Oreochromis niloticus: one gene and its partners. The protein of the gene in region 1 purifies or fractionates together with the protein of each later gene. This does not show direct contact. Links are inferred from orthologs where the notes say so. Each region holds a gene or a part of one and is shown on either strand. Other genes may lie near its edges.

Region 1 (10,725 bases):
AATATTTTAATTTAGCTGACTAACCTAAGTTAATAATACCAATTTAAATTATGCCATAATATTGCAGTTATGGCCATCGAATATCTCTAGATGGCAATAGAACGACACATAATACAGCGGTGATCCTCACTTTGTTTCTACCTGCACTTTGAACAGCTGTAATATGGATTTCCACTAAATTAAAAGCAGGAACCTTATCATTCAAAATACAGAGAAAGAGTAGCAATAATCTTTGACCTGATATGAAAGACCCATCTTTTATTCCCTCTGTGTTTTAAATGAGTGTTAAAAAGTGCATATTTCATTGTTGTGAATACTTCTGAATATATTAAATGGTTTATGAGGGGTGAAAATGGGACATCTGAATGATTTAAATCCGGTTCGGTTGTTTTTGTGCTGGAACGGGAAGGTTTTGATCGGTGCTGTGTGTGAGTAGCTATCGGGATGATATGGAAGGAATGTTAAACCGGAACCCCCCGCATCAGCCGACTTGTGTCCCAAACATCTTCCATTGAACACAGATGTAGCCAAAGCCTCAGCCTCCTCCAGTGGCTTCAGGGCTGCTCTGTGGTGTCGAGAGAGCCAGCAAATGGGAGCTGAACCTAGTAGGAATGTGCCTGGCAACCTGTCTGCCCTTTTTGAGTGGGATCATAAATAGGGGGATGCGGCAAGAGAAGGGAGGGGGGCTCTAATGAGAACGTTTAAACACTTAACAGAGTCCAGGTGCTCTTTGTTTTGCTGTAACAGTGTGCCCTCAGACAGAGTGCCACTTTGAATTCACACAAGCCAGAAGCACAAAGAAAGGAGAGCCAAACAAGGTTTCGATTTTGTATGCAAAATGTTTATTGAATGACATTATTGCTGCGACACAAATAAAATAGAACACATTTACAAATATATAATATACCTCTAAAACAGATATCCTATTACCACAGTTTGCAAGAGTAATGACAAATAGCTACAATGCCCATATATATTTCTTCCTGTACAAAAATAGCTCTATCTGTATAAGTACTTTACTGTAACTTCTATGTAATATTTAAATAAAGTAATTCATATATACACATACCTGCAATAAAAACAAATATAGATTGCACTTGTGTTTTTTTACAAACAACAACATTTCAAGTATATTTCAGTCCATTAAGGACTGGCACATATATCACATAATCTAAGGCATTTTTCCCTTATACAGTGTCCAAAACTTGATATAAACTGATAGCTTTAGAGCTGTGGAGCCTATCTTCGTGTTTGGCATTGTGATGAAGATGTCTTTTCCTGATGATTCATTTGACTTTAAGTCCAAATGGAAAAGTGCAGACAAGTACTGACAGTTTCATGGAACACAATGGCACAAATCCTTAAAGGATAGCACTTATCAAAGTCTTGGCCTTGAGGAATAAATGTGTTAAGTCCCAGAATATTAGTCCTCCCCCTTGATCGAGAGGATGAGTCCACTTTGCCAGGTATTAGCACTCTTCCCTTTCCTCTGCCATGCAGAGAGCAGCACCTGTAGTTTGCTCCATGCTGTGCCATCCAGTGTCTATAAGCAGCTGCAGTTTTTTTTTTTTTTCTTTGAAAGTTGTACATTGCTGAGCTCATTGCAAGGCTCGAGCTTTGGACAAACTCAGTTGCAGCCAGTTTTGCTCTGATTCACTGACTCGGTCCTCCAGCCTGGAACAAATGTGCTGGAGAATACTTGGCTGTAGTCTGAGGCACTTCAAGAATTTTAAAACAGAGCAGGCAGGACACTACTCCTTTGCTTTTGTTCCCAACTCCCGTTGCAAAGTGGTGCTCATGTCCGTCTGAGGAGGGCCTCAAGCTTGTGAACTTGTGAGTCAGTCGTGCTCCACACGGGCCTCAGCCTGCCCTGCTCTTGCCTTAGTGAGACTCTGTGTGATGGAAGGGAGCGACGCCTCCGGCCATATCCGTGTGGGCTAATCTTGTGGGGAGGTGCATTCCCGACCCTCAACTTGCCGATCTGGTGCAGACGATGTGCCAGGTCGTGCACTGTGCAGGTACCCAGGGCACAGCCTGAAGACCGCTTGGTTCGGACGTGGATGTCAGTGCTGGAGAACAAAGGGAGAAGACATGAGTCTATACTGTTTAATCCTGAACTGTTAATAGCTGACTTTGGATTTCTTGAATTTATATTTACTTTGTAAGAAAACTGTCAGAATTGCATGATCTTACCTGGAATGTGGCAACAACGTATCCCTGATGTCTTCTGGTCTGACAAGGTGCTCAGCCTCTGCTCTCTTCTCTACTGATATGGTGTCAACATCTCGCCTCAGTCTGCTTCCTAGCCATATGCTTAGCCTGTAAGAGGAAGGGAAAAAATGCCATTAGTCCAAGGTAGATAATTCAAATGCTGAGTGTCACACCCTAAATCAGGTTCAAATGAAAATCATTCCTCAGTTAACTCACCTCTTTTTCAATTCAGGATTCACTTCAAGTTCCACACAGTGTGCTACTGTTGCCAGCAAACAGCAGTAGATGAAGGACTGGAAGATCAATTTCATTTTGGCTCCTGTTTGGAGAAGGAAAAAAAAAAGAAAAATCAATAGTTAGTCACTCGTACATTTTTATTAATATTTAGCTATACAATTTTCCTGCTCTCCTTCTATCCATGCTAGACTCCTTCATACTGTAATAAGTGTGCTTGCTTACACAAGAGTCCAAAAGCCAAGTTATTTGCACATATCATTCATTTATTTAGAAAGTTAAGCTAAGGTCAGATCTTGCTGGGCTAAGTAAACCTACAACCATGCTTTGGGCCCCTGGCCAGTACTGTGAAGGACACAGTCTCCCAATAAGCGGGCAAAAATAGTTCACAAACAAATGTAATTCAATTCAGTCACCCGATTAAATAGAACAAAACAGCAAAATTATGTGCAATAATATGATAAACAGCACATGATATACTGCCCCTGTTGGATGCTTTGCACCTTGAAGGCAACTCCTTAACAGACGCACACATTAAGAGCTGAACTGCTTATATAACCAGACAGATAACCTGTTCTTGTCTCTACACTTGTGCCCTGACCTCAAAAAAGCAAGGATAAAGCCATCAGCTAGTGGCATAACAAATCACAGCAATGTCTATTTTAAAGGCAAGTGCACATACCTTAGTCTCTGTTCTTTAGTTGAATGAGAAAGCTCTTCTTCTAGAATCAGCTGGGAAAGAGTACTCCACAGGTTTCTTGAGATTGCTTCTAGTTCTGTAAGGCAGCTGTGTCACTCTGCTAATAGCTCCTCCACACAAGACGGGAGCCTTTATGCAAAAGTTGTAGGAGGGGCTAATTGACTCACTCATTCTCTCATCTCCCCCCCCACCCCCACCCCATCCAGTACACTACTGCTGCGCTGTTGTTCTTGTACTACAGCAGTTAAAACTTCAGGAATGCATTTGAAAAAGCATTAAACATGAAGCATTAAAGGAAATTTAAGAGTTGCTGTCATTGTGTTCTTCTTTCATGCTTTCAGCGAGTCACAGCACTAGATTTTTTTATTTCTTTTTCTTTTTCTTTTTACACCTCAGCATGACTCTTAAAAATAAAATAATGTTTGTTTTTTTAATTTAAGTGTGTGTATAAGCAAATGGGTAGTCATTATTTATGTAAGTCAAACAGTGCACTCACTGTGCCAGTAAGAGTACAACATGTTCACGTCAGACGGCTGCTTTCTATAGTGGGTGTTAATCACAGAAAGAAAAGACCTTTTCCTTTGTGGCTGTAATATTTGAACTATAGTTGTAATATTTGGACTTTAAGGTCACACGGCTATAGTTTTTGTTAATGCTCTTTTCAGTCCATCTGGCTAATTGTTTGAAGTGAAATTTAAGGAATGCTTCATCGGACTCGTTTTCAGGGCACTCCCTGATGTGGTGAACTTCCATGTCTGCTTGAAAATGTACTGGATGATGAATTTGAGACGTTGAAAGAGACACTGAACTGAATAAGTGATTAAATAATACACGTATTCCCAACTATAAACAGAATGTGCTCTATGTTTTTGTTTGTACGAGGCAAATATTTGACTATGGGCTCACCACAAATTTATTTGGATAAATGTGAAATGGAATTTTACAGTTAACTAGAAATAAAGTTACAAAAGAACTGTCATGTATGAACAATATTACCTCAGGCTTTCTTAGAACAGTCCGGAGATTTCTTTATAGTGTGTCATCTCACCTCACTTTTCACCTTAGGAATGCAAAGAGAATAAGTTTTGAGTTCATACAGGTGATACCAACATGTCTCATCAGTTTGAACTTTATTATATTTCTATCTTTTTCATTATAACTCAAAATTTGCATGTTGCTTTTACATGAACACACGGGAAGATGTTTTAGATTTCCACAGCGTGGAAAATCAAAACTGTCTGTGGGATTCGTGAGACAGATGCTTATTACGAGCCCCTTAGGGAGGACGAAAATAAATAAATAAATCACATAAAATTGCATAAAAAAATAACCAGCTGGGGAGGCTAAAACTTTGTTTATCTCATCTCACTGAGCCACGGCTAGTGAAGATCTAATGTGTCTGTATTTGAGATGAGCACAAAGAGGTAATATGCACCCAAGAATGACCCTGTGTGTGAAATGCTGTAAATACCGACTTGTTCTCTTTTTTTCAGAAAAGAAATTCCAGTACAGAAATTTCCACAAGGCACTGGATATGGTGTAAATTAACATTGCAGAGAAGGTCCAAGTATTTCTTTCAGTTTTGATACTTGTTTCACTTTCAATTACGGGGAAGAAAAGCTCAAATTGAATTAAAGACGATGTAACGCTTCAAATTCCCCTGTAGCGCACCAGCATCCTGTAATTCGTATCTCATTATAATTAAAAACTTTCTTGAGTTTATTTATATCTCAGACCTCATTCCTTGGTGTCATATTTCAAACTAAAAAAAAAAAACAACATAAATGACAAACACATGTGTTGTAAAGCAGAATGTTTTGCAAGCACTTTGCAATGATAATTGCCTCCAGCGGACAAATAATTCCCCTACCAGAGTTTACAACAAGAGATGGTGCAATCATGACAACAAAACTCCTCTGGTGCTTTTTGGCTCCTTATATAGCAATCTTTTGAAAGTCCATTCTGATGTTGTCCTGGTAAGATGACCCGACAGTTTTTGTACAACCTTATACTTTAATGCATGAGTAGGTCTGTGTGTCAGAAAAGCCGAGCAACAGTCGTCATGTTTGGGAGAAGAGGGGGAAAAAAAAGAGGCTGTCAGCCCCAAAAGCACAAATTACAAAGATAAGTCATAATTATTACCTTGAAATATCCATTGTGTTGTGTGGGGTCTTTTTACTTAATGATCATTCTTGTGCTGTGATAAACGCTATATAAAAAAGGGGTGTTAATGTGTTCTGCCACAGGTTCAACTCTTTGACTACCTGTGTCTTTTTTCTAGCAGATGAACAGCACGAGGGAAAAAAAAGAAGAAGAGAGAGGAAATTGCTTGCTGTGTTCCTGCTATTGTTGACCGCAAAGGTGGTGGTGGTGGATGCGTGACTCTCTCACTCACATATTACTCATCGACACGTGCTACTCGGCTTGTCCTTTTCTCTTTTTTTTTTTCATGGATACTAAATATTTTGCACAAACTCGATATTTGACATCTTTTTTAAACAAAAACAAATACAAAAAATTAATGTTACATTAAATTTGTAAGTCTATGGAATAGTCCTTGCATGGGGATTTTTAATTTTTGCATTTGGTGTTGGAGTTTGTAGCATAAAAAGTAAAAATAAATCAGAACATTGTCGGTTTAAGCTTCAGACAGAGCTGACTAGTGGCAAATGTGCACTTAAGGTTAAGGGGTTGTACACAGTCCACTGGTTAAGAGATGTTACATCACAATCACCATTCTAAAAAAAGAGCATAGCATGGATAATAAAACAGCATGTTGTGATATAGTAACATGGAAACTTCTACTGACTAAAAATCTGATGCAAATATTTTACATTACTCAGTGAAAGTGAAAGTGTGTTTCTTTTTTTTAATCATTAGTATTTTAGAGCAGTACTACTGTATATATCTTCTCTCTTCTGTTTGCCATTTATTTTATTCCTGATGTCTTTACTATTTTTTTCCTGCACAGTTGGCGTGGAGCACTCATAATTTCGTTGTACATGTGCAATGACACTAAAGGGCTATTCTATTCTATTTACAGAGTCTCTAGCAAATCCAAGAGTGGCCAAGATAAAATTTCCTATTATAAGTGTTTGGTTTCTTTTCTGTTATACTGTAAATTACTTACAAGTGCCCTGAGATGACTTATGCTGTGATTTGAGGCCGTTCAAATAAAAATAAATGTCCTAAACTTCACACAGTTAAAGTAAAATATAGTATTCTTTTGGTTTTGGTGGCTGTAGGTTTGGCTACCCTCGATATATAAAAAGAAACAGTGCTTTAGGGCCAAAACGAGTCTCTACTGGAGCACAGAGCTGTATTTGTAAACTCGAGAGGGCCCACGCCCATGGATGTATCCCGCTCCTGCACGCAAGCGCAGTGACACTCCTTCTGTCAAACATGGCTGTGCTTTGGAAGAAGGAAAAATGCTGAATTGTGTTGGTAAATCTCGGGAAAAGCGGCAGACATGGCTAGATTGGCTGACTATTTCATTGTCGTGGGATACGATCAGGAGAAAGCCGGTAAGTTTGGCTCTCAGATTGAGCTGGCGGAGCTGAGGTTTGTGTCCAGGCCGTCAGTCAGTGTGTGTGTGATGATGTTGATGCTAGATAGCATTGCGCTAGCTTAGCCACACGGCTACAAGGCGAGACTGGGAGATACTTTTTCTCCCTTTTTGGTTTTTACTCCCTCCTCCTCAACCGGCCACCCGCTCAATATGATCAAGCGGGCGTGTGTTTACACAGAAAGCACACGCGTGATGTTAAGTCACCAGTGGATGTTTACACACGAGGAGTTGGGATATTTGACTTGGATCAGCTGAAACTTCTCGTGGATTCAAAAAAAAAAAAAAAAATCTGTCACATCCTGCCCTGTTGATCGTGATCCTGTTATCAGGTCTAAGGGGCCATTCAGCCATATAAAACCAAAATCTAGCTCCTCCTTTATCATATTTGTGTGCTTACTCAAGCCAGGTCAGGATTGCTATTGGTAGCCGGTTTGCTTCTATGTTGTGGATTTTTTTTTTTTTTTTTTTTTGGTGGGTTCAAATTGGGTAGGGAGGGGAAGGGGCTTGGTGTTGCACCTCGGCTGTCCTGCATGCTCTGCTTCCGGTCTGTATTTATCCGCTGTAGCCACACTTGTCAGCGAGTTGTTGTGTTGTATGTATTTATTTATTTATTTATTTGCTGGAAGAATGCTGAAGTGGTTCATGATGGGCGGAACATTATACAGCTGCAACAAAAGGGCAGTGCCTGCTCTGGGCCAGTGTCCTTTTCCCTCCTCTTCCCTCTCCACTGTTGTGGGACAGGAAGCTCCTCATGCTTCCACTTACAAGCCGTGCCTCAGGTCCAGCCTCACATTCTTTTCATCCAAGACAGGAAACAGCTTTGCACACATTTCCAAGCATTCATAGATAAATACATGAAAACATCTTGGCATTGCACGCATTGTTCGTGCTGTGCACAGGGCATGAATGGTACTTTGCAGTTTATCACTTCTCATGATGCACTGTTTTTTTTAAAAGTATCCTGTGAGAATGATGCATAATGAGCTGCCTGGAGAAAGTTTAAAAAACTGATCTAATCTGCATTGAGGGTAGAAAAGAAAGTTTCCCGGACACTTTTTCAATGGCATCCGTTCAGTGCCATGTGCTTCAGAAGGGGGCTGGAGCAGCTGAATCCCCTCAGTCACCATCGCTTGCTATGCATAATAGGTAAACAGTGCTTTTCATCAGCTCTGTGCACCCCAGCGCCAACTGACAAATGAATATTTTGTGCTCCGGGGACAAAATGTTCCTGGCGTCACCCGAAGAGTCTGAATGGATTCACATTCAGATGGTCTCGCCACAAGAAGACGCAGGGGCCACGAGTTAAGTCTTTTCTTTGCCTGCCTGCTGATGATGAAGAAGTCAGCTGCAGGGAGAGAGAGAGCTGTAAAAATCCACTAGCACAAGTTGTGGCTGATTATGTCTTATCTCTGTGGAAGCCTCTCTGGGGAACAAAAATATTCCCGAAGTCTTGACTGAACTGTATTCCTATCGGGTGATGATTTGGACACCAGTCCTGCAGGAACGCCCCTGTCTGTAAGCGGTAGAACTTGAAAATTGCACTGCCTTCTAGATTTGTTAGGAAAATAAACAGATAACTTCTCCACAGCGATGACTTGAGTGAGAAGAGTGTTCTTGTTGAAGGCGTGCTAGTCACGGTAATGTGCAGCAGCTCGTCTAGACGGCAGATTTTTCCTGGCCACCTCGCTCATTAATTCAAACCAGGGATCCCTACGTGGGTCCTCATTAACCCTCCTGTGCTGTGCTGGCATTTGCTCCACTGCCCTGACCCACTTCTCATTGTTAGATTACTACGAATGGATCTGCTGGAAATAACACTGAGCCCACAATCTGTTAAGTTTTAGGCTGGCTCACAGTTTGTAGTAAAATCAGACTCCAGCTTGTAAAATAATGAATTGCTGTTGGTTATTATTGTAATAATATGACATTAATGCTTTTAAAGTCAGGTAAATATTTAAATTAGTGGCAGTGGAGCTTTTCTCATGCAAGCTCATGCATGCAAGTAGGTAAGGCTCAAGTTGCAATACTGTACACTGCATTTAGCCCGAAAATGTTTACAGTATGTCAACACGTGTGCTGTGGTTTGTTACTAAGGTCTGTTTTTTGTTTTTCTTTGGAATCGCATGACCCAGTTTCAGTAACTTGCTTAAATTGCTCTTTTATTTCTTTTCTGTGTCCCCTGAGTGTCAACATAAATCCAGCCAGACCATTTGGGATATTTTCATTACGAGGCAGACGACCCAATTCATGAAATATATTTAAAATCACGCTTATTGTGTGATTGGTCCACCAGACTGAAGTGATTTAAAACAAGCAATAAAACACTGAAGTTTGGCACCTTCTAAATCCAGAGTTTGTTGCTGTTGGTTGAACCTATAGCTGGCACACGCTTTTGTCATTTAAGTACCTCTGACATATAAAAAATTATGTGCAGTCGTCAGTCTGATAGCAAGGAATATAACCGGCAGATTCCTCTTTTAGAAATTGGACCTGAGTCTGTGTCCCTGGGGGCCAGTGTCATGAGCCATAAACCCTGGAATTATTTTCACGAATGAGTTGGAATGTGAATGCGCCGTGTTTGAAGGATGCAGCCTGTATCGAACCCGCAGTGTATCCTGGCTTTTTCCTTTTGCATTAAGGCGCTGTTTCCCTTTACTGGCAAAGGTTTATATACGGTTTGGCGTGCGGTTCCCCATAAATTGCAGTTTGCCAAGTGAAAAAGAGGCATCTGCCCAGCTGCTTTTCTGAAACAATTTATTGGTGGGATATCATCACTTTTTATTGAATCAAACTGCTTTTGGAATGTGTTTCACAGACACAGAGCCCAAACTCTACGGTCTGGATTTTCGAGTTTGGATGTGGGGCAACGGCTTATGTAACAAGCACAGTCCAGGAAAAAAACAAAACAAAGAAAAAAGACCTTCCATAAGAGCAAAATACTTCCATCTGATGATGTCTTTTAAATATAAGATAATGATATTGGTACCCAGATAGATGCAAGTCTGCAGCTTTAGATGTGTGACTATCAGGCATACTAGTAATATGAATCCACACATCCATCTGTTTTTGGACACTTTTCCTTGTCTGAGTCGTGGGGACAGCGGTCCAAGCAGAGCAGAGCTTTTCCAGCTAATCTGTGGAGATTAGCTGCCCAGCATTCCCAAGCTAGCCGAATTGTGACTTGGGTCCGTTCTTGGGCCTCCTCCCGCTAAGGTATCCAAGAAGCATCCTAGATGCCCCGACCTCCTCAACTGGCTCTTTTTGAGGAGTAGTGGCTCTCCAAAACATCCAAAAAAGATCTTCACCTGATCACTGGTAATACCCAGACACCCTTCACAGGAAGCGTATTTCTGCTTTTTGTATCCATACTCTTCAGATCACTTGCAGCTCATTTCCATCGATGAGTTTAGAAATGTACATAAACAATTCCCATTCTCTAATTCTCATCCCTGCTGCTTTGCACTCAGCAAACCTCCTCTCCTCAAGCTGGAGGTCACTGCTCAGTGAAGCCACAAGGACCACGTCATCTGCAAAATGCAAAGATTTGATTCTGAGGCCACACACTGGAAACCTTCTGCCACTGCCTGGAAATCTCTGTGCCAGAGTCCGTCCACTAAGATTTAAGAGTAACAACTATTGGCATAGTTAAGGAGTAGGGGCAAGTATAAAAAGATTGAGTCTATAAGTTGGAAAAGCTTCAGGTTCCAGAGTATTTCCCCTCTTGGATTTTCCCTTTTAATGATGACCACCACATTACTGCACACAGAAGCTGGGTCTCTGATTACGGTGGGATCACGGTCAGCAGAAACACATTAAGGCTGGTTCCAAGATACAGACTAGATAAGAGCATTCCTGACAAAACAGACGCAAAGGTTTTCACTTTTAATTTCAAGTGGTTTTACAGGAATTGTTGTGTTTGTATAGTAATGTCATGAGTGGGTGTGTTGCGAAAGTTTTGTATGTTCTGCTCTATTATGTTTACCTACATGTCTGATTAGGCAATCAGTGATGG
Region 2 (9,668 bases), on another chromosome or scaffold:
TTGCATGTTTTATTTACTTTAATCTGCAAAGACAACACATAGTTAATACACTGTACCAGCTATAAGTTAAAAACTCAAAACTGTGCTTGATGATGCACAGCGAATAATAAAACACAAGAATCAAAATCTGGCTACGGCTCCATACGGGCCTCTTCATTTTGGACTGTCTTGTTTATTTTTAGAATCTACTGGGAGATCTTTCATCCACGCTTTGAAACAAGCCTTGAATCAAACTTTGTTTCAGCTCTCTTTCCCCTTCCAATAATGCACATGAGACCACTGTTAAGGATAACTACTCTCTTTGACATCATGAACATCCACAAGTAGAAAAAGACTGTCTGAAATGGACTATTGAGAAAAGTCTGAAGCCTGACCTTTTGGCTCACAGGGATTACTATTATTGTTATTGTTATTATTTGAAGCTTTGGCCATGTTTAACATATGTATCAATCACTGTAACACAATGTAAAGTGGGTCCCATTAAATAAATATAATTTAGAAAATGGACCTTGTTGGCAGCAGCGTTGACGCTCGGTCTGGCATCAAAAATGAAGAGTTTATGTGACTGAGCATTAGCATCCATGATCGCCTGCAGGTATTTCTCATCCTCTTTGCTGCGCTTCCCGTTCACACCAACCATCGGCTGACTGCAGCGTGTCACTGTTGCCTGGCTCTCTGGATGGATCCATGACAACACCTTTAAATAATGTGTAGCAGAATATCAGCACAGACTGTCCTGCAAGCCGGGCGCACACACAGACAATTATAGTACTGCTGAAAAAAACGGTCACTCACCGGTATCCTTCCCTTTGCTCGGAAGGCAGCGACTCTTTTCAGCTCCTCGTCTGGTATGTTAACAGGCACTGCCAGTGTTGATGGGTACGTGTCGCACAGCTCATAGTGATCGTTTACTTTAGTTATCCTCCAGCTTTCATTAGGTATACCCTTGACAAAAAAAAAAAAAGGACATAAGCAACCGGTTTTATGAGCGTACTTTAACATTTAACAAAGCATTCTGCATAACTTAAGTACCTGTCTTTTATACTCTGAGAGAGCATCATACACCTTCCATCCATTTTCAGGAAACACTTGCCCATATTCAAAGGCAAAGATTTGCTGTGGAGAGTGGGGGAGACATATTTCAGGTGGTTGTACACGAAAAAAGGTTTGTGGACTTTGTGAAAGACCTGTGAAAAACTAAGTACACTTCACGATTCAGTATCTTATACAACCATCTTTAAGAGCAACAATTTGAAGTAATCATTTTCTCTATGACATTATCAGTGTCTTGCATGATGGTGGGGAATTTTACCCCACTGTTCTTGAACACGTTGCTTCAGGTCACTGAGGTTTGCAGGTATTTGTTTAGGCACAGCATTTCAAATGGGTTGAGGTCTGGACTGGCCATTATGTTTTACATTTGCAGCTGTGCTTGGGATCATTATCTTATTACATGACCCAATTAGGGCCAAGCTTTAACTGTTGAACAGATGGCTTCACATTTGACTCTAAAATACTTTAGTTCTCTGGCTCTCCTCCACAGCGTGTCTTTGTCCTGTCTTCCTCCCCTAACCCCTAACTGGTCACAGGTGATGGGTGCCCCTCCCTGAGCCTGTTTCTGCTGGAGATTTCTTCCTGTTAAATGGGAGTTTTTCCTTCCAAATGTTGCCAAAGTGCTTGCTCATAAGGGGTCGTCTGATTGTTGGGGTTTTCTCTGTATTATTGGAGGGTCTTTACCTCATAATATAAAGTGGCATGAGGAAACCGTTGCTGTGATTTGGTTCTATATAAATCTAACTGAACTGAAATTGAACTTGGTTTTTCAGAGGACTACGAATATGTGTTTCCCGGTACTGTATGTGCAGGGCTAAAAAAGTCAGCAACAGCATTGCTGGGCAGTACTTACCAGCCCATTGGAAACAGGAAAAGCGAATTTCATCAGCACTTCAAAAATGGACTTCCTGAGCGTGTCCTCCATTTGTTTGTGTGCAAATCGTAGATTACGCATATCCTGTAGAAATGCAGAGCAACAAATCAGGGAAAAACTCATGGGCTAGCAGCTGTATACAAGAATCATTTCATCACAGTTAAGCGTTATTACCAAGAAAGGTAACGTAGAAGTAGATCTTTGTAAAACTTCACTGTTTCTTAATGGGCTATCTCTGGCAGAGATTACACAGCTCTGTCTCTGCTTCTCAGTTGAATAACTGTAAACTACTTGGCTATTTTGCAACTTAGTGATTCTGTAAATCAAAAACAAAAGAAGAAATTCTTTAAAACTTTCACAAGCTTACTCACTTTGCACACCAGCCCATAGGACACATCACGACTCGAAGCGTTTCCAATCCTTTCCACGCGACTCACCACCCCAAGAGGCAAGTCCAACATAAATGTTGACTCCTGGAAATCAGCCAGACATTAACAACAACAAAAAAACCTTCAAAATACAAATTAAAAATAATCAATAACATACCCTGTCCATAGATTTAAAGAATAGCCTGTAGTTGGTGACAGTCACAGTTCCCCTCAGAGCTCCAGTAAAAGGACAGAAGTAGGTGACATCTTGGGCTATGAATAAAAACAAGAGGATAAGGTGATTAGTTTGCTGCATTTTTGCTGTTTTGATGGGTTGTAATTGCAGCTGAATGGAAACCTACCCATGTCTTGCACGGTTTCATTCGGAAGCAACTGTGGTTCTTCTTTGTCTGAATCTCTGATGGCCTGCTGGAAACATATCATCCACTTTAGTTCTGAGTGGTCTCTTGACTGGAAATTTTACTCAAACATACAGGATAGGATGGGTAAAATTAAATGTGTAAAATCATCTACCTTGGCAGATATTTTGGGCTTGACCTGCAAAAAGAAGAGGAGAGCCACGCTTCAGTTTTTAAATTACGAAAATATATATTTTAATAGAAAAATAATAGCGGTGGAACACATGCAGGTCACTAACCCTGAGCTCCGGGGAAAACTCTGCAGAGGTGGACACAGAATCCGAGGACATAGCAGATGGTGGCTTGGCCTGGGCAGAGCGGTCAGAGCGAGAGGTGGAAGTGCTGGTGGAAAGTGACATGACACAAGTGAGAACCATTTATTAGGTGCAGTCTTTTCTTTTTGGGGGGAGTTTTTTACGTATTTACACGTATACGTATATGTAATGACAGAAGACTCAATGACTAAAAAAACAGAGACATCTGTTGAGATTGGCCCTTTGTTTTCAGACTGAGAAAAAAAAATTGTTAAATGTATATTTTTCATTTTCCAGATCCACTCTGATGGATCTGGGCATGCACATTGCCCTGAAGGAGTCGTATAACTGAGGTTAAGTTTAAAATTATACGAGATACTAACACTAAAAATGCAAAAATGTAACATTTTAAAACAGATTACAATTCCGGCAGCATACTCATCACCTGGTGACGTCAGGGCGAGGGGTTAATTTCTTGTGTCGGACTACTGATTTTACCACGTGCACACGTACCTGACCTTGCAATACTACTCACATGGAATGAGCTACTAATCCCTTTCTCATTTCTCTTAATAGTTTTTCTATATTCATTTGTATGTGCAAAAAATATTACCTTGGAACAGCTGCATTTTTAAGTACCTCTGAACATATCTTAAACTTAACCTGAATGATCAGACTCCTACTTTATATGCATGTCTATAAAGTAATTGTCAGAAATGAACAATATGCATATACTTGATTAAACTAAATTATGTTCTCAGTTATAATTAGAATATCATCTGGAAACTCCAGAATTTTGATCTATCTGTATTAGACTATCTACTGGTGTTTCTGTGATAGAACTTATCATGTTTACTAAGTCCAACATGAAAGTTGAATAAGATTTGCATTTTCTTTTTTCAACTAAGAATTTTATGTCAAAAAGCTATTCTACATGTTTCTATTTTGCAGTACTATAAAATACAACTATATCGCAAAAGAAACTGAAACTAGCTGTTTTTGTAATGAGATTTTTATTTACATATTTATTTACTGTATTTTAATTAACCCATATTGAGAGGGATTTTTTTGTGTTTTGTTTTGTTTTGTGTTTTTTTAATTGCAGATCCCGATTCAATTTTATGGTAAGAGGAGCCAGTGAAAACTTCAGGCTTTCATTTATGTCGACGGAACTTCTTTTTTAATCCATCTTCAAAAATATCTGATATACGAAACTAAAACGTCACAGCAATTATTAGATATATCCAGACCACAACATTTTGAGGCAAATCAGACGTGGCTGTGCAGAAAATGTTCTAAAAATATTTGATGATTTGAAAAAGTGTTTTTAACTTGTCTGCCCCACACGAGCGCAAATTGAGCTCTATGTTGTCCATGGACTGAAATAAGTTTGACACTGTTTGGGCAAACAGTCTACTACATCGAGGCTCTGTTAGCTTCCGTTTGACATTTCTATCACATCACAGCTTGAGTGATTACTGGAGCGGATCGATAAAATTGCGTTGTCCTAATTTACAGTTCAAGCTGCGTTGGTCTCGTAGCGCTCACGAGGACACCGTCACTGGTGGATAACATTAGTCACAGCTGAAAGCTTACAAGAAGTGTACTGAAGTTAGACACGCTTAACTTCAGCTATAAAGCCTTAATAACTAACCCCTGCCGATAGTGTCAAAACTTTTGGCTAGCTTAGCGGTGTCTGGCGGTGGGTTTAGCTACCTGGACAATGAATCTACACTCGGCTGTCGGGAAGAGGAGCGCTTCGAGCCCAAGCTGTCGACACTCCCGCTCTTCTCCATGTTCTCCTTCTTCAAGCGTTTGGATAACCGGTATTGCGAGTCAAGACTTTACCGCTAAAGAGCCACTGAACGGTTTTAAATCCCTCCTCCGAGTGAAGCAAATCCCCACAAACAAAAGGAAGCTACCATCTTTTCCCAGAAGCCTCCCAATCCCCGTCACAGGCAGGATCGTTGGAGGGCGCGCCCTCTGCTGTCTCTCTGCGGAACTGCAACTGATCGCGTGCAACGCTTTTCTCTCGTGCCAAACCTCTGGCTACGCAGAGTGGATGATAGGATAATGCTTCTTATTTTAATGAAAACGTACACATTGTCTAATTATCCACCCAGCGTCCATGTGGGTAACGTCATTGCTTTGGCTCCATAATAATGAATGCTAGAATAATGAAATGGCTAAACTGCAGTAAAATTAACTTGAACTTCGTGTTTACATTCGTGTTAATGAAAGACTTAATGCAAAAACAATAGAAATAGTCACATTCATGTGACTATAATGCTTCTTTCTATTGAATGAGATGAAGCTGATAATTACAAATGCAAAAAGGATTTTAGACAATTAGTCTACTGTATGCAGGTAGGTTTAGTAAGAAGGGAGAAGCTGCATCTGCATGTAAATACACCAAATGTGCTCAAATTGTTCAACCATTCTGCACAATTACAGACAATTCATTAAATGAGCAATAAACTGGGAAAATAATCTTGATGAAGTGGAACATGTAGTTCAGATAAGATTTAAGACATGAAACTTGCACCTTTATTTTACTGGAAAGTTTTGTGTGTATATGATAACAGTATCCTGGTGATTGATGTGCTGTTGATTTTTCAAGTCAGTTTATTTTTAAGGGTTCATAAAGCAGTTTAATATGAAGACAATTTATTGAAAAAAAATTAATTTGACAAGAAATGCGACAGACAGGGTGTATTGTGCCTTTCACCCAATGACAGCTGGGATGTGCCTGATTTAGACTTCTGCAGGAAATCCAAGTTGTTCTTTCTACTGCAACCAGAAACCCGTCTTAACTCTACGCTCTAACCTTCCATGTCATTCAGTTGTTGCAGTCTGCTTCGACCTGATGTGTAGCTATATTTCTCAAGTGGTGCAGATCAGGTTGCGGTGTAGGGTTAAGAAGGCTTTCCGGTTACGTTACAATTTCCCACAGAAGTCTAAATCAGGCTCCAGCGCCCCTGTGCCCTTGAATAAGATAAGCAGAAAAAAGTCGATGGCAGATGGCTGCATAAAGAAATAAAGGCTTGACTGCAGATCTCTACACTGTTTAAAATGAAATGTTTGTGTGTGTGGAGTGGCTAAACAGAAGGAAGACATTTCCATCTGATGATCTGACTGGATCCTAATCTAACTGTGCATTTGTGGAGATGCTGGTTTATATAATCTCTGCCAGTTTATTGAAAAAAACCCAAAAGAAAATAAATGCTTGGTCACATTTAAAAACTGCACTTAACTTTTGACAAATTTCACTCAAAGATGTCACGTTGACACATTTATATACAGCATGACTGTACAGATGGATACGTGGTTAATAGCATGGATAGATGGATGACTGTACAAGTATTAATGAAGTTGTATACAGAGTTTATTTGAAAAACCATGTACCCTCTGCAACAGAGGGTAGAGGAAGGAGACCAAACACATTAGATAATAAAAACAAAAACAATACAAATAACACAGAGGAAGTCCTCTACTTTACATATTTCTCCATAAATTTTTTGTGAAATTCAGAGCGCAGTGTGTCATTGACAAAGCGTTTCTCCTTCCGTGCCTCATCCACTCCTTTGGCGCAATTCTTGAACACTACGTCATCATCCCACCTTGAATAATATTAGGAAATGAAATCAAGATTAGATTTAAGAGGTCTTTTTCTCAAATACAAAGCTCATCCTGTGGTTATACTGTGGGTGACTGTGTATAAGTGAGACATACCTTCTCTTGACTCTGAATGTATTCTGTGTCTGGTTCTGTTGCTGCTGTCCAGCCAAATTAATCAGTGGATTGCCGCTCAAGATATTTTCCATTCGAATTCTCTCCTCCTCTGCCTTTTGCTCTCGCTCCTAAGATGGAAAAAAGAAAATTTTACTTAATACAAAGAAATAATATTTCTTCTGACCAAATGTAACGTCTTATTTTAGTTAGTGCAAACAGAACAGCCTAAAACACAGTTACTTTGCGTTCTTGCTCTTCAGCACGCTCTTTTTTAATCTTCTCCAATTCAGCCAAAAGAGCTGCAGTGTCATCATCATCACTATCTTGATCAGAGTCCTCGTCCTCATCATCCTAATAAAATAAAAATCATTGTTAAGGGAGATTAATCAGTACTAACCACTACTCAAGTTAAGTGCCCAAAATGTCTTGCATTGTAGACACTCACATCAGTGAGAGGATCATCAGCATCAAGGTTAGCAGCTGGGATCTGATCCAGTCTTGGCCTCTTTGAAGATGACGAAGAAGATGATGATGATGTGGTGTGCTCTGGAAAAAATAAGACCAACATAATGCCATATGTGAGAAAATAAATATACACTAAAATATATTTTACATAAACAGGAAGTCTAATTTCTGCAGAAAGACCAACCTCTTGGTCCCCTCTCTCTGGTCTTTTCACGTGCTGCTACACGCTCCCTCTCCTCCAGCTCTCTACGAAAGTCACGGGCACGGACCTCCTCAGGGGCATCCTGGGTAGGTTGCCTGCAGAAGGGAAAACATTAGCAGATCAATAAATTGTAATTTTCGTCCAGAACGCTTTCTGGAACACTTTCACCAATCTCACAGTGAGCAGACAGATAATGCAGTACAAACTGATCCGAAAGCATCTTTCCTTCTAGCTAACCAGCCAGCAGATCAGGCAATGATAAAACTCCATTCACATTTGATCTTCTGACCTGTACTTGATCTTTGTGTGACCTGGAAGATCTCGACTGGAGTATTGCTTGGAGAGAGCACTCAAATCACCTTCTCCTTTACCCCTCCCTCCTCTTGCCGGCTCAAATGTTGGTCTTGCAGCTGTAGTCATCTTTGATGGCTCTGCAATGGGACAAAGAAGACATTAAACCTATCAAACAGGTGGAAAAGTTGCAAGCAGAAAAAGCAGAGCAGACACGGTGTCCATAATCAAATTGTAGTGCCCTACAACACAACACGCTTTTACTCCACTTATGTGCCTTATAGAAAGTCAGAAGGCTCATCTTTTTGGTTTTTAGACAAGCTGGTACAACATACCCTTTCCCAAATATCAATTACCTACTCATTAAACCTCAGTGGTGATCAAACCGCTTATAGTTCACGTGTATATCTATATTAGCAACGTAAATAACAGTTGAGAGGCATTTAGATGACAAGTTACGTAATTTTCCTAATAAATATCATTTGTTCACCTGCTAAAACTCCAGGTCAACCAATTAAACCTATAATTAACAATTTTCTGATTAAATTGAGACTGTGGCATTTTAAATACTTCTTTGTAAGATAAATATCAGCTGCTAAAAGGCAGTAAATGAAAAGAACAAATTAGCCTGCTAGCTGCTAAAGCTAAAACGCTGCTACGCTAACTTCCTATAACAACGCCGATGAGGTTGAAAACGACACTAATTCGAGCCTTCGGTAAGACGGATAATGTTTCAGAGAAGTGATATTACAGCCAAAAATAAAGGAAATTTAAAAAATTCATTAAGCAGTATTTAAAAATTAGGTTTAAAGAAACAACACTTACAAAGCCGCTACCACACGACGAAAGGAACACCGATACAACAATCAACGTCACTTCCGGAAAAAAAAGATGCGTTCAGAAACACTCAGAGAAAATAGCGTGCGAAAAATCAGAGATTTTAAACTTCTTACATCTCAACATAGCGTTGACACCACTAGGGTCTACGCGTATAACTTAACAAATATGCTACAGCCTCTCTAAATTTTATTTTGGAAACCACCACTTCCGAAAGACTGATAGACTAAATAGACTGCAGGGGCATCAGCGGAGGAGTGACCTGTCTTCTGAATAGTGCGTTGTGTTACAGTGAAGGAGTTAAATGAGGATGCTGTTAAGTGCAACGCTCAAACAGATGCGTAGAAGATGCATTCAAAGCAAAACCTCCCTGTAATGGTCACACAAACAACTCTAACACAGTACAGGGTGGGCCATTTATATGGATACACCGTAATAAAATGGGAATGGTTGGTGATATTAAAGTCCTGTTTGTGGCACATTAGTATATGTGAGGGGGCAAACTCCTCAAGATGGGTGGTGACCATGGTGGCCATTTAGAAGTCGGCCATCTTGGATACAACTTTTGTTTTTTCAATAGGAAGAGGGCCATGTGACACATCAAACATATCGGTAATGTCACAAGAAAAACAATGGTGTGCTTGGTTTCAACATAACTTTATTCTTTCATGAGTTATTTACAAGTTTCTCTTTGTGCACAGCCACTGACATGTCGAAGAGGTTAACACGTGAGGAGCGGATCGAAATTGTGTTGATATCTGGTGAACGTTGTAACCGGGTCATTGCAGCAGATTTCAATGCAAGACACCCTACGAGATCACCCATCTCCCATGCTACAGTTAGCAAACTGCTTGCTAAGTTTCGTGAAACTGGTTCAGTGTTGGATTTGCCAAACTGTGGACGCAAGAAAACTGTCACGAATGAAGAAACATCAGTGGCTGTCCTAGCTTCATTCAGCAAGAGCCCACAGCGTAGCACTCGCCGCATGTCACTGGAGAGTGGCATTAGTCGAACATCCCTTTGGCGGATATTAGCTACTCACAAATGGCACCCTTACAAACTCCAGCTACTGCAGCATCTCAACGAGGATGACCCAGATCGGTGCACAGAATTTGCAGAATGGGCAAAACAAAAATTGGAACAGGACCCTCAGTTCACGCAGAAGATTTTGTT
Region 3 (9,854 bases), on another chromosome or scaffold:
TGGGAGTCTACAAAGACTCTACATTTTCTACAGATACTCTGTAAAACATTGGAGTGTCACCTCTCTGGTGAGAAAGGAGCCTGAGTTAGTGCGTGAGATTGAGAGGTACTGATTACATATGTCGGGCTCACCTCAACGTATAGCTTGGGCTCCAGAACCAGTCTCCTGGAGAGGGGCTGGACTTGCTGTTGGTGAGAGGTGGCGGGCTCGGGTGGACAGTTGAGTATCCCCTCAGCTTGCTGCCTGTATGTAGAAGTTTTTCCTGGTGGACAAAATGGTTTGTTCCCTGTGCCTCCGGGTCGGGGAACAGGTCCTAACTGTTGTCTGGGCCTATGTGCCGAACAACAGTTCAGAGTACCCGGCCTTCTTGGAGTCACTGAGTGGGGTGCCGGAGAGTGCTCCGCATGGGAACTCTGTCATCTTAATGGAAGACTTCAACACTCATGTGGGCAACAACAATGAGACCCGGAGGGAGGTGATTGGAACAGTCTACCAGATCTGAACCAGAGCAGTGTTCTGTTGAGCGCACTTCTGTGTAAACCACAGTTTGTCCATAACAAATAGCATGTTCGAACATATTCAATTCAATTCAATTCAATTCAATTTTATTTATATAGCGCCAAATCACAACAAAAATCACCTCAAGGCGCTTTATATTGTACAGTATACCCTATAATAATAGAAAGGGAGAAAAACCCAACAATCACTTTGGAGCAAGCACTTTGGCGACAGTGGGAAGGTAAAACTCCCTTTTAACAGGAAGAAACCACCGGCAGAACCAGGCTCAGGGAGGGGCGGGGCCATCTGCTGCGGGAAAGTTTGAAGCCTAATCTTAAAAGTAGAGATAGTGTCTGTCTCCTGAATCCAAACTGGAAGCTGGTTCCACAGAAGAGGGGCCTGAAAACTGAAGGCTCTGCCTCCCATTCTACTTTTAAATACTCTAGGAACAACAAGTAGGCCTGCAGTGTGAGAGCGAAGTGCTCTAATAGGGTGATATGGTACTACAAGGTCATTAAGATAAGATGGGGCCTGATTATTTAAGACCTTGTATGTGAGGAGCAGGATTTTGAATTCTGGATTTAACAGGGAGCCAATGAAGGGAAGCCAATACTGGAGAAATCTGCTCTCTCTTTCTAGTCCCTGTCAGGACTCTTGCTGCAGCCTTTTGGATTAACTGAAGGCTTTTCAGGGAGTTTTTAGGACATCCTGATAATAATGAATTGCAGTAGTCCAGCCTGGAAGTAATAAATGCGTGAACTAGTTTTTCAGCGTCACTCTGAGACAGGATATTTCTAATTTTAGAGATGTTGCGCAAATGGAAGAAAGCAGTCTTACATATTTGTTTAATATCTGCATTGAAGGACATGTCCTGGTCAAAAATGACTCCAAGGTTCCTCACAGTGTTACTGGAGGCCAAGGTAATGCCATCCAGAGTAAGAATCTGCTTAGATACCATATTGCTAAGATTTTCAGGGCCGAGTACAATAACCTCAGTTTTATCTGAATTAAGAAGCAGAAAGTTAGCGGCCATCCAGGTCTTTATGTCTTTAAGACATTCCTGCAGTTTAACTAATTGGTGTGTGTTACCTGGCTTCATGGATAGATAGAGCTGCGTGTCATCTGCATAGCAGTGAAAATTTATGCTATGTCTTCTAATGATGCTGCCTAAGGGAAGCATGTATAATGTAAATAGAATTGGTCCTAACACTGAACCCTGTGGAACACCATAATTGACCTTAGTGTGTGAAGAGGACTCTCCATTTACTTGAACAAATTGGAGTCTATTAGATAGATATGATACAAACCACTGCAGTGCAGTACCTGTAATACCGACAGCATGTTCTAATCACTCTAATAGGATATTATGGTCAACAGTATCGAACGCTGCACTAAGGTCTAGCAGGACAAGCACAGAGATGAGTCCACTGTCAGAGGCCATAAGAAGATCATTTGTAACTTTCACTAAAGCTGTTTCTGTGCTGTGATGAGCTCTGAAACCTGACTGAAACTCTTCAAATAAGCCATTCCTCTGCAGATGATCTGTTAGCTGTTTGACAACTACTCTTTCAAGGATGTTTGATATGAAAGGAAGGTTGGAGATTGGCCTATGATTAGCTAAGACAGCTGGGTCTAGAGATGCTTTTTGAGTAAAGGTTTAACTACAGCCACCTTGAAGGCCTGTGGTACATAGCCGATTATTAGAGATAGGTTGATCATATTTAAGATTGAAGAATTAATTAATGGCAGGACTTCTTTGAGCAGTTTTGTAGGAATGGGGTCTAAAAGACACGTTGATGGTTTGGAGGAATTAATTATTGAAGTTAACTCAGAAAGATCAATTGGAGAAAAAGAGTCTAACTTAACATCGATGGTACTAAAAGTAGCTGTAGATAATATTACATCTGTGGGATGATTATTGGTAATTTTTTCTCTAATGATAAAAATTTTATTTGTGAAGAAGTTCATGAAGTCATTACTAGTTAATGTTAAAGGGATTGTTGGCTCAGTAGAGCTCTGACTGTTTGTCAGCCTGGCTACAGTGCTGAAGAGAAACCTGGGGTTGTTCTTATTTTCTTCAATCAGTGACGAATAGTAAGATGTTCTGGCTTTGCGGAGGGCTTTCTTATAAAGCAACAAACTATTTCTCCAGGCTAAATGATGATCCTCTAAATTTGTGACACGCCATTTCCTCTCCAGCTTACGAGTTATCTGCTTTAGGCTACATGTTTGAGAATTATACCACGGAGTCAGGTACTTCTGATTTGAGACCTTAGTTTTCACCGGAGCTACAGTATCCAGAGTCGTACGTAGTGAGGAGGTAAAATTATTAACAAGATGATCGACCTCTGTTGGAGTAGCATTCAGATAGCTGCTCTGCTCTATGTTGGTACAGGGCATTGAAGATGATAACAGTGGGTGGATTATATTCTTAAACTTAGTTACAGCACTTTCAGAAAGACATCTACTTTGATAAGGTCTACTCTCCACTGCTGTGTAATCAATTATTGTAAATGTTATCAGGAAATGATCAGACAGCAGAGGGTTTTCAGGAAACACTATTAAATGTTCAGTTTCTATGCCATATGTTAAAACAAGATCTAGAGTGTGATTAAAGTGGTGGGTGGGTTCTTTTACATTCTGAGAGAAGCCAATTGAGTCTAATAACAGATTAAATGCAATGTTGAGGCTGTCATTTTTAGCATCTACATGGATGTTAAAATCACCCACAATAATTATTTTATCTGAGCTGAGCAGTAAAACACACGTCATATCCTGTAGTATAGCTGATAATTTTATAAAAGCACAAAGTGGACGTAGTTTTCAAGTGTTAAAAATAGGAAAAACCAAAAGAGTATTGTCATTAATGCTCACTTCAATTCAATGTTATTTATACAGCGACAAAATACAACAGTTGCCTCAAGACGCTTTATATTGGAAGGTAAAGACTCAAGAATCATATGTCATTAAAATGTTAAAATCACCCACAATAATTATTTTATCTGAGCTGAGCACCAAATCAGATAAAAAGTCTGAGAAATCAGACAGAAACTCTGTGTAAGGCCCAGGTGGACGATAGATGGTAACAAGTAAGACTGGTTTCTGAGTTTTACAGCTGGGGTGGACGAGGCTAAGCATCAGGCTTTCAAATGAATTAAAAGTCTGTCTTGGTCTTTCGTTAATTAATAGACTGGTGTGAAAAATTGCTGCCACACCGCCCCCTCGGCCTGTGCTTCGAGGTTTCTGGTAGTTAGAATGACTCGGGGGTGTTGATTCATTCAAACTAACATAATCATCCTGCTGCAACCAGGTTTCTGTAAGGCAGAGTAAATCGATTTGTTGATCAATTATTAAGTCATGTACTAACAGAGACTTGGAGGAGAGAGACCTAATATTTAATAATCCACACTGTTTTACTCTTTGGTTCAGATGTGGAACCTGTATTGGTCGTTCTTTGTGATTTTTTATGTTTAAGTTTTTTGTTGCTGGTTTTTGGTTTGTTTTTTGTCTGTTTGGGAGCTGACACAGTCTCAATGGAGATGGGTTTTTGGGGGGGTAGCAGGAGGAGAGAAGCTGCAGAGAGGCGTGTAAGACTGCAACTCTGCTTCCTGCTTCATAGAGGTGTCCATAAGTGCATATGGCACCAGGACAGCCCAGGCCGCAGGCTGATGATTGATTTTGATTTATGATTGCAGCCATTGTTGCTGTTCCTCTGCTATTTTCTCCAGACCATGATTGTGCCTGCTAAACCTGCCAGACAGCACAGGTGTTTAAAAAAATCCAGAGATTACTAGTTACAAAAGCATGTTTTCCTCTTCCTGTAAAAAAGAAAAAAATATCATTTGATAGATTTTTCAAGTGTGGAGAAAAAGTTAAAACCAATTAATTGTCATTTCATTTATTACCCCAAAAGAAAGTAGTTCGTTTTAAGACAATTACTGATATTTATCAGGGTGATGAATTTTTCAGGTTGATGTTTAAGCTGGTTAGTAAAGCTCAGAGCTTTTGTAAAAAAGATATTGAAAGTCAAGAACAAATTTTCTTTATATATACGCTGTATGCTCTATCCTATGTTTATTATCAGTTGGCCTTGAAGAATGTAATACCTGTGTTAGAATCTTGTTGTAATATCTTTATTAAGCAGTTACCCGCGTCTCTGCCAGCAGTATGTAGAGTAAGTCCTGGTAAATTCAGACAGGTTCATTTAAGATAAAATATTTGGTTATTTGTTTATTCGTGTGTTTTTTTGTATTCTGTTATTATTTGATGAACACGTTTGATAACTACACCCTTTCGTGGCATTTTTCTCCTTTCCGTGTTGACTTCTTCTTCCTCCGCTGATGTGGCAGTTTGGTCTAAATGGCGACGCCTATCGGTCAGGACGGTGCTACAGCATCCTTAGCACTGGTAGAAGCTGTGGCGACGTCACTGCGAACAACAATGCTGCGGCTATAGATGCGACTAAGAGGAAGTGCAAACAACCAAACCAGAAGAAACCACTGCATGTGAGATCCGCTCTCGAGCCTCTGATTAGTTTCTTTACACAGTTCGGAGTCTTTAAAGAACCATTACAGCCCGCTGGGAGCGGACACTGGGATTACACCGAGCTTTAATTTCATCCGCATCCCTTGTCTGTATCAGAGGAAACCATCCATCTCCGCCCCCGGTGACCCAGAAACGAAGCAGTTGTGTGACAGATGGAGAAACAGGCCGGAGGTGCCGGCGCTGGGGACGGTGCAGGGGCGAACAGAAAGCCGTGGGGCTCGCCGACTTGCGGCGCGGCAGCCGGTGATACCCTGGACAGGTAAGCAGGCTCGCTAACGAGAAAACGTGACGCCGATGCCCAGCTTGTTACTTATGGTTGTCTCGCTTTCCCACTGTACACCAGTAACATGAAATATTAGTAGTATTTCTTCACACCTTCATCTCGGCATCGATCCACAGACCAGTGCTTGGGACAAACTTTCCAACGTGACAAAACACTCATCATGGAATGATGTAGCGTGTTACCAGTTCATTTCAGATTTGGAATGACAACATACAACACAGTAGCGATACACTAGCTGACAAAAAATAATAGGATCACGTGATTAACACAGCATATAGGAAATGCACAGGAATGGCCACGCAGCCTGCAGACACCGAGTTAAACATCCGTATCTGCCGCTCAGAGGAAGCCGCCACCTGAGGGAGATATGACATGATGTTTTTGTAGTTTGATAAAAATGTTACAATGTTGCTCCTGTTAAAACAATACCGACACTGAAACGTGGAGTTGCGTTGCGCTGGGTAGGAGCCATATTCTTTATGTATTATTTATGGTTATCATCGCCCCCCCCATTGTACTAAAACTGGAGGAAGCGTCACACAGTCGTAACTCCTCCCCCTTAACATTCCATGACATTCACACCACAAAGCTGCTCCAATCCAGACTGAGTCTGTCAGAGACACTGGTTTATCTGCTATCACTGACAAGCTTCATATGAGCTGCTTTTCCTGATATATTGTTCTTGGCTTAATATTCAGGACTGTCCAGGAGACGGGACCGTCTGTCTCCAGCACTCAGACAACCGCTGTCAAAGCCCAAAGACAGGACGTTGTACTGTCTGGCTTAGGATTGGGAGAAAAATCAATACAGCATAGTATCATCAAATTTTGCATGGAGATATTGCATCCAAAAAACAACATTTTATTAAATAAATGAAAATACTCTGTGAATACTACAAAAAAGTCTGACTTCGACTGACTGAAATCACTCGCAGAGAAATGCAGTTTATATCAGAGACAGATTGCATATAACTGGCAGCTTTACCCGGTATAGTTGCAGACTGGTACCAGTCTGATTGCAGACTCAGTCCATCAACATTTGTGGCAGCTTTTAGTGGCAGTGTTGGTTTTCTTAACAATCTCATTTGCTGTAAAAACAAACAACTGAAGTGAAGTAACTCTATTTTATTAAATAAAACAGACCTTGACAAACTTTGACTTTGAGGACATCATTTGCAGTTGAAAAAATATTAGAAAAATATTAGTTAATAATATTGTTGTTAATTACTACACAGGGTGGAACGTTCTCATATGTAACATGTAGTCAGCAGAACATCATTGTTGCTGTCAGATGATGTTTATCTGTTCAACACATTCATTTTACAGTGATGATGTTAAAAGTGGTGTGATAAAGAACTCAAAGAACTTTCTAACACAATTTATTTATTTAAAATAATGTATTCATTTATTTGTTTCTGTGCAACAAAAGGGAGAAAACTGAGCAAAAGTAAAATAAAGAACAATATCAGCCAAACTGTCATTCTGAGTATTAGTGTCAGCCTGAAATCTGGAGTTCAGCTTCAGTTCATTGTTTCACTCTGTGTTCAGTCCAACAGGTTCTCACGTAGAATGGTGTAAACAGCTAATAGCAGCCACAATCTCCAGTCAGATCTCAGGATCAGTCCAACCAGACATTGGGAGCAGGGACATCAAGGTAGACAACACACAGCACACACACACACACACACACACACACACACACACACTGCTGGCAGTGATTCTCATCAGTGTGTATTTTGTAACTAATAGGCTGGGAGAAGACCAGAGTTCATGGTAAGTCTCGGAGACTTCTCCTTGTGAGCTGCTTTGAGTGTGGGCGCCTAGTTTTGTCTGTTAAGTCAATATGAATGATTAAGTCTGTCGTCATTGTTTAGAGAAGCTACTGAGCAAGTTATCGACTGCTTCTGTCTGTCAGCGGCCTGCTCTCTGCAACCACCTCTCTGTAGCGAGGCGCATATTGGCTCATTCATATTGGTTTTTCTCTTTTAGACCTCAGATCAGTTAGAGGTGTAATGTTCTATGTATTGCACATTATATGCAATGTGCTTTGTTAACTAAACAATGCTGCTCATATAGATCTCTGGTAGTTTAGACAACCCACAGCAGGGTTTAGCTGTATTGTTTGCAAGTGTAATATATTACACTAGACCTGTAGAGAGAGACCAAACTGTGGCCCCCGGTTGTTTAACATTAGATCTTTGCAAACGCTGACAATAAAATATGATAAAGCAATTGTAAAAGTGGCACCCATCACCTTACTACATCTTCTACAGCTATTACGTTCCACCTGAGCAATAAGGCTGACAAATATTCAAAGAACTGGAGTTTTCCATCCCAAAATCCAGATTGGAACCAAACTCTGTGCTTAAAGCTGCTGAAAAGTCTGAGCTGAACAGTCTTAGTTGTGTTATTTCTTTGATAAGTTACATTTCCAGCAACTTATCACAGTTTTGATAAATGTAACCAGAGTAGCACAGACTTCACTGTCACCACTGTGGTATGTACACTGTCTGTGAGATGACAAATAGCTGCTGAATTTAAAAAGGCACCCCTCTGTGCACATCTAATGAAATGTGTGTAATGAATTCACCTCCACTGTGTCAGATCAAACCCTCCACCTCTGATTTAAGGCTCACTTCATTAGAACAAAGTTAGAAGCGCAGCTTTCCTGCAGCTTGTCTAAACTTGTATCGGCTGTTTGTCACTTGTTGTCTTTGCTTGAATTTTGAACCTCATTGTTTGGAGGTTGCTTTTGTGCGCTTGTCTATTTGCATCCTTCTGTTATAAACACAGACTGATGTGCCACACATTAAAGATAACCTTTGGGTTGAAACCAGAGTGTCACCTTAGTGCTTTCCATTTCATGTCCATGTGGTGTGTTTAACCTCCAGGTGTCCAAGAGGCTGAATCGCAGGGTAAGAGTTGTTGTCCTTTCAACACATTTACAACACAAGCGCACTGCACACACACAGGAGTTTTGTAGCGTGGGATAAAACAACAGCTGCCTCTTGACTGTGATTCTTCAGCAGTAGCATTGTGATACAGCAAGTGTTCAAATTAGACGAATAACTGTAACGGTGTTAGGACGTGCGCTGAATAAATATTGTATGTGATGCAAATTTGAGCAGTTTGCTACTGTGTGACAGTGTGTAACCAAATCAGCCTCCTGCTGCAGACGGACCAGAGCTGCTACTCCTCCCTGCTCAGTGTACTTCCTCCTTCCTGTTTTATCCCTCTGTGCCTTTCTTCAGCTTTCTTTTTTCTTTCTTAATTAAGTATGAAACTGACTCCATTATAATAGAGCAAAAACCAACCAGACAAACTGTAGTGCCTCAACAAGAAAATCAAATTAAAGAGGGGATTTTTTTTTTTTTTTGAGTGGACTCGCTGCAAATCAATTTCCCATTGGAGACATTAAAGTTAGCAAACAGTGTTTGCATGTGAAGGCCATCGCGGTGGTGGGAGCATCAAGCTGTGGGAATAATTCACTGTTTGACTGGGAATCATGCCAATGGGTGGAAGGAATCATGACTGGATCTGTGAAGCTCCTGAGCAAACCTAGGTCTGGATTGTTATAATAATAATAATACATTTTATTTATAGGCGCCTTTAAGAGCCTCAAGGTCACCTTACAATAGCACAAGAACAATAGCAACAATACAATATAAAAACATGTCAAAATAACATTTAGACATAAGGTAAATAAGAAAAAAAAAAGCATAAAAGTATAAAAACAAGTATGAAAGCTGAGCAAGGAAAAAAATGGACTAAGACAGATCAGGTCTATGCAATGCTGAATAGATGGGTTTTGAGACGTGATTTAAAAGTGGTGAGAGAGTTTGTGGTCTGGAGATCTGGTGGAAGTGCATCCAAAGTCTCGGAGCAGAACAACTAAAGGCTCTGAGTCCCATGGTAGTCAGGCGAGCAGGTGGAACAGACAGAAGGGAAGCTGAAGAAGAGCGGAGCGTACGAGGGGGGGTGAGTATGTGTGGAGAAGATCAGATAAATATGGAGGAGCGAGATTATGAAGCTCTTTGAAAGTAAGAAGCAGGATGTTGAAATTGACACGGAGATGAACTGGAAGCCAATGGAGCTGTTTAAGAACAGCTGTTATATGTTCAGTGGATCTAGTTCTGGAAATAATACGAGCAGCTGTATTTTGAACTAACTGAGAGAGATTTACGAGGTAGACCATAGAGAAGAGAATTACAGTAATCTAAACAAGATGTGACAAGAGCATTGACGAGTATGGCGGTACTGTGTGGAGTGAGCCGTGGGTTTGGAGGATAGCAGAGCTGGGTGTCATCTGCGTAGCAGTGAAATTGGATGTTATGCTTCCTGAAAATATTACCTAGGGGTAGGAGATAAATGATAAAAAGTAAAGGACCCAGGACAGAGCCTTGGGGTACACCGGAATTAACTGGAGTAGATTGTGATCTGTGAGTGAGTAACTGAACAAACTGTGAGCAGCCAGAGAGATAAGAGGTAAATCTGGCGAGTACTGTATCATTGATGCCAACAGATGCTAA

The links. The genes of interacting proteins can lie anywhere in the genome.
Region 2: the proteins of sbf2 (region 1) and mtmr2 purify together in Homo sapiens (affinity purification with mass spectrometry; 3 studies listed by BioGRID and IntAct, with this or other methods). This does not show direct contact. The link is inferred for Oreochromis niloticus from reciprocal best matches to the Homo sapiens genes SBF2 and MTMR2.
Region 3: the proteins of sbf2 (region 1) and mtmr1a purify together in Homo sapiens (affinity purification with mass spectrometry; 3 studies listed by BioGRID and IntAct, with this or other methods). This does not show direct contact. The link is inferred for Oreochromis niloticus from reciprocal best matches to the Homo sapiens genes SBF2 and MTMR1.

Annotation. Positions count from the first base shown.
Region 1 is NC_031965.2:20,473,458-20,484,182, reverse strand, and holds the start of sbf2 (myotubularin-related protein 13), read left to right. Parts: upstream 1-6,508; 5' UTR 6,509-6,614; coding exon 6,615-6,669; intron 6,670-10,725. Other genes in the region: adma (adrenomedullin a), read right to left, coding at 1,796-2,069, 2,194-2,319, 2,428-2,522. UniProt on the Homo sapiens protein: Guanine nucleotide exchange factor (GEF) which activates RAB21 and possibly RAB28. Promotes the exchange of GDP to GTP, converting inactive GDP-bound Rab proteins into their active GTP-bound form.
Region 2 is NC_031975.2:10,965,923-10,975,590, reverse strand, and holds the start of mtmr2 (phosphatidylinositol-3,5-bisphosphate 3-phosphatase MTMR2), read right to left. Parts: upstream 4,968-9,668; 5' UTR 4,765-4,967; coding exon 4,685-4,764; intron 3,057-4,684; coding exon 2,954-3,056; intron 2,854-2,953; coding exon 2,830-2,853; intron 2,725-2,829; coding exon 2,658-2,724; intron 2,569-2,657; coding exon 2,474-2,568; intron 2,401-2,473; coding exon 2,299-2,400; intron 2,012-2,298; coding exon 1,907-2,011; intron 1,117-1,906; coding exon 1,033-1,116; intron 946-1,032; coding exon 796-945; intron 698-795; coding exon 509-697; intron 1-508. Other genes in the region: protein CWC15 homolog, read right to left, coding at 6,459-6,588, 6,701-6,828, 6,941-7,051, 7,146-7,246, 7,350-7,462, 7,657-7,787. UniProt on the Homo sapiens protein: Lipid phosphatase that specifically dephosphorylates the D-3 position of phosphatidylinositol 3-phosphate and phosphatidylinositol 3,5-bisphosphate, generating phosphatidylinositol and phosphatidylinositol 5-phosphate.
Region 3 is NC_031967.2:2,852,824-2,862,677, forward strand, and holds the start of mtmr1a (myotubularin-related protein 1a), read left to right. Parts: upstream 1-4,887; 5' UTR 4,888-5,195; coding exon 5,196-5,302; intron 5,303-6,873; coding exon 6,874-6,979; intron 6,980-7,074; coding exon 7,075-7,098; intron 7,099-8,216; coding exon 8,217-8,240; intron 8,241-9,854. UniProt on the Homo sapiens protein: Lipid phosphatase that specifically dephosphorylates the D-3 position of phosphatidylinositol 3-phosphate, generating phosphatidylinositol. Could also dephosphorylate phosphatidylinositol 3,5-bisphosphate to produce phosphatidylinositol 5-phosphate.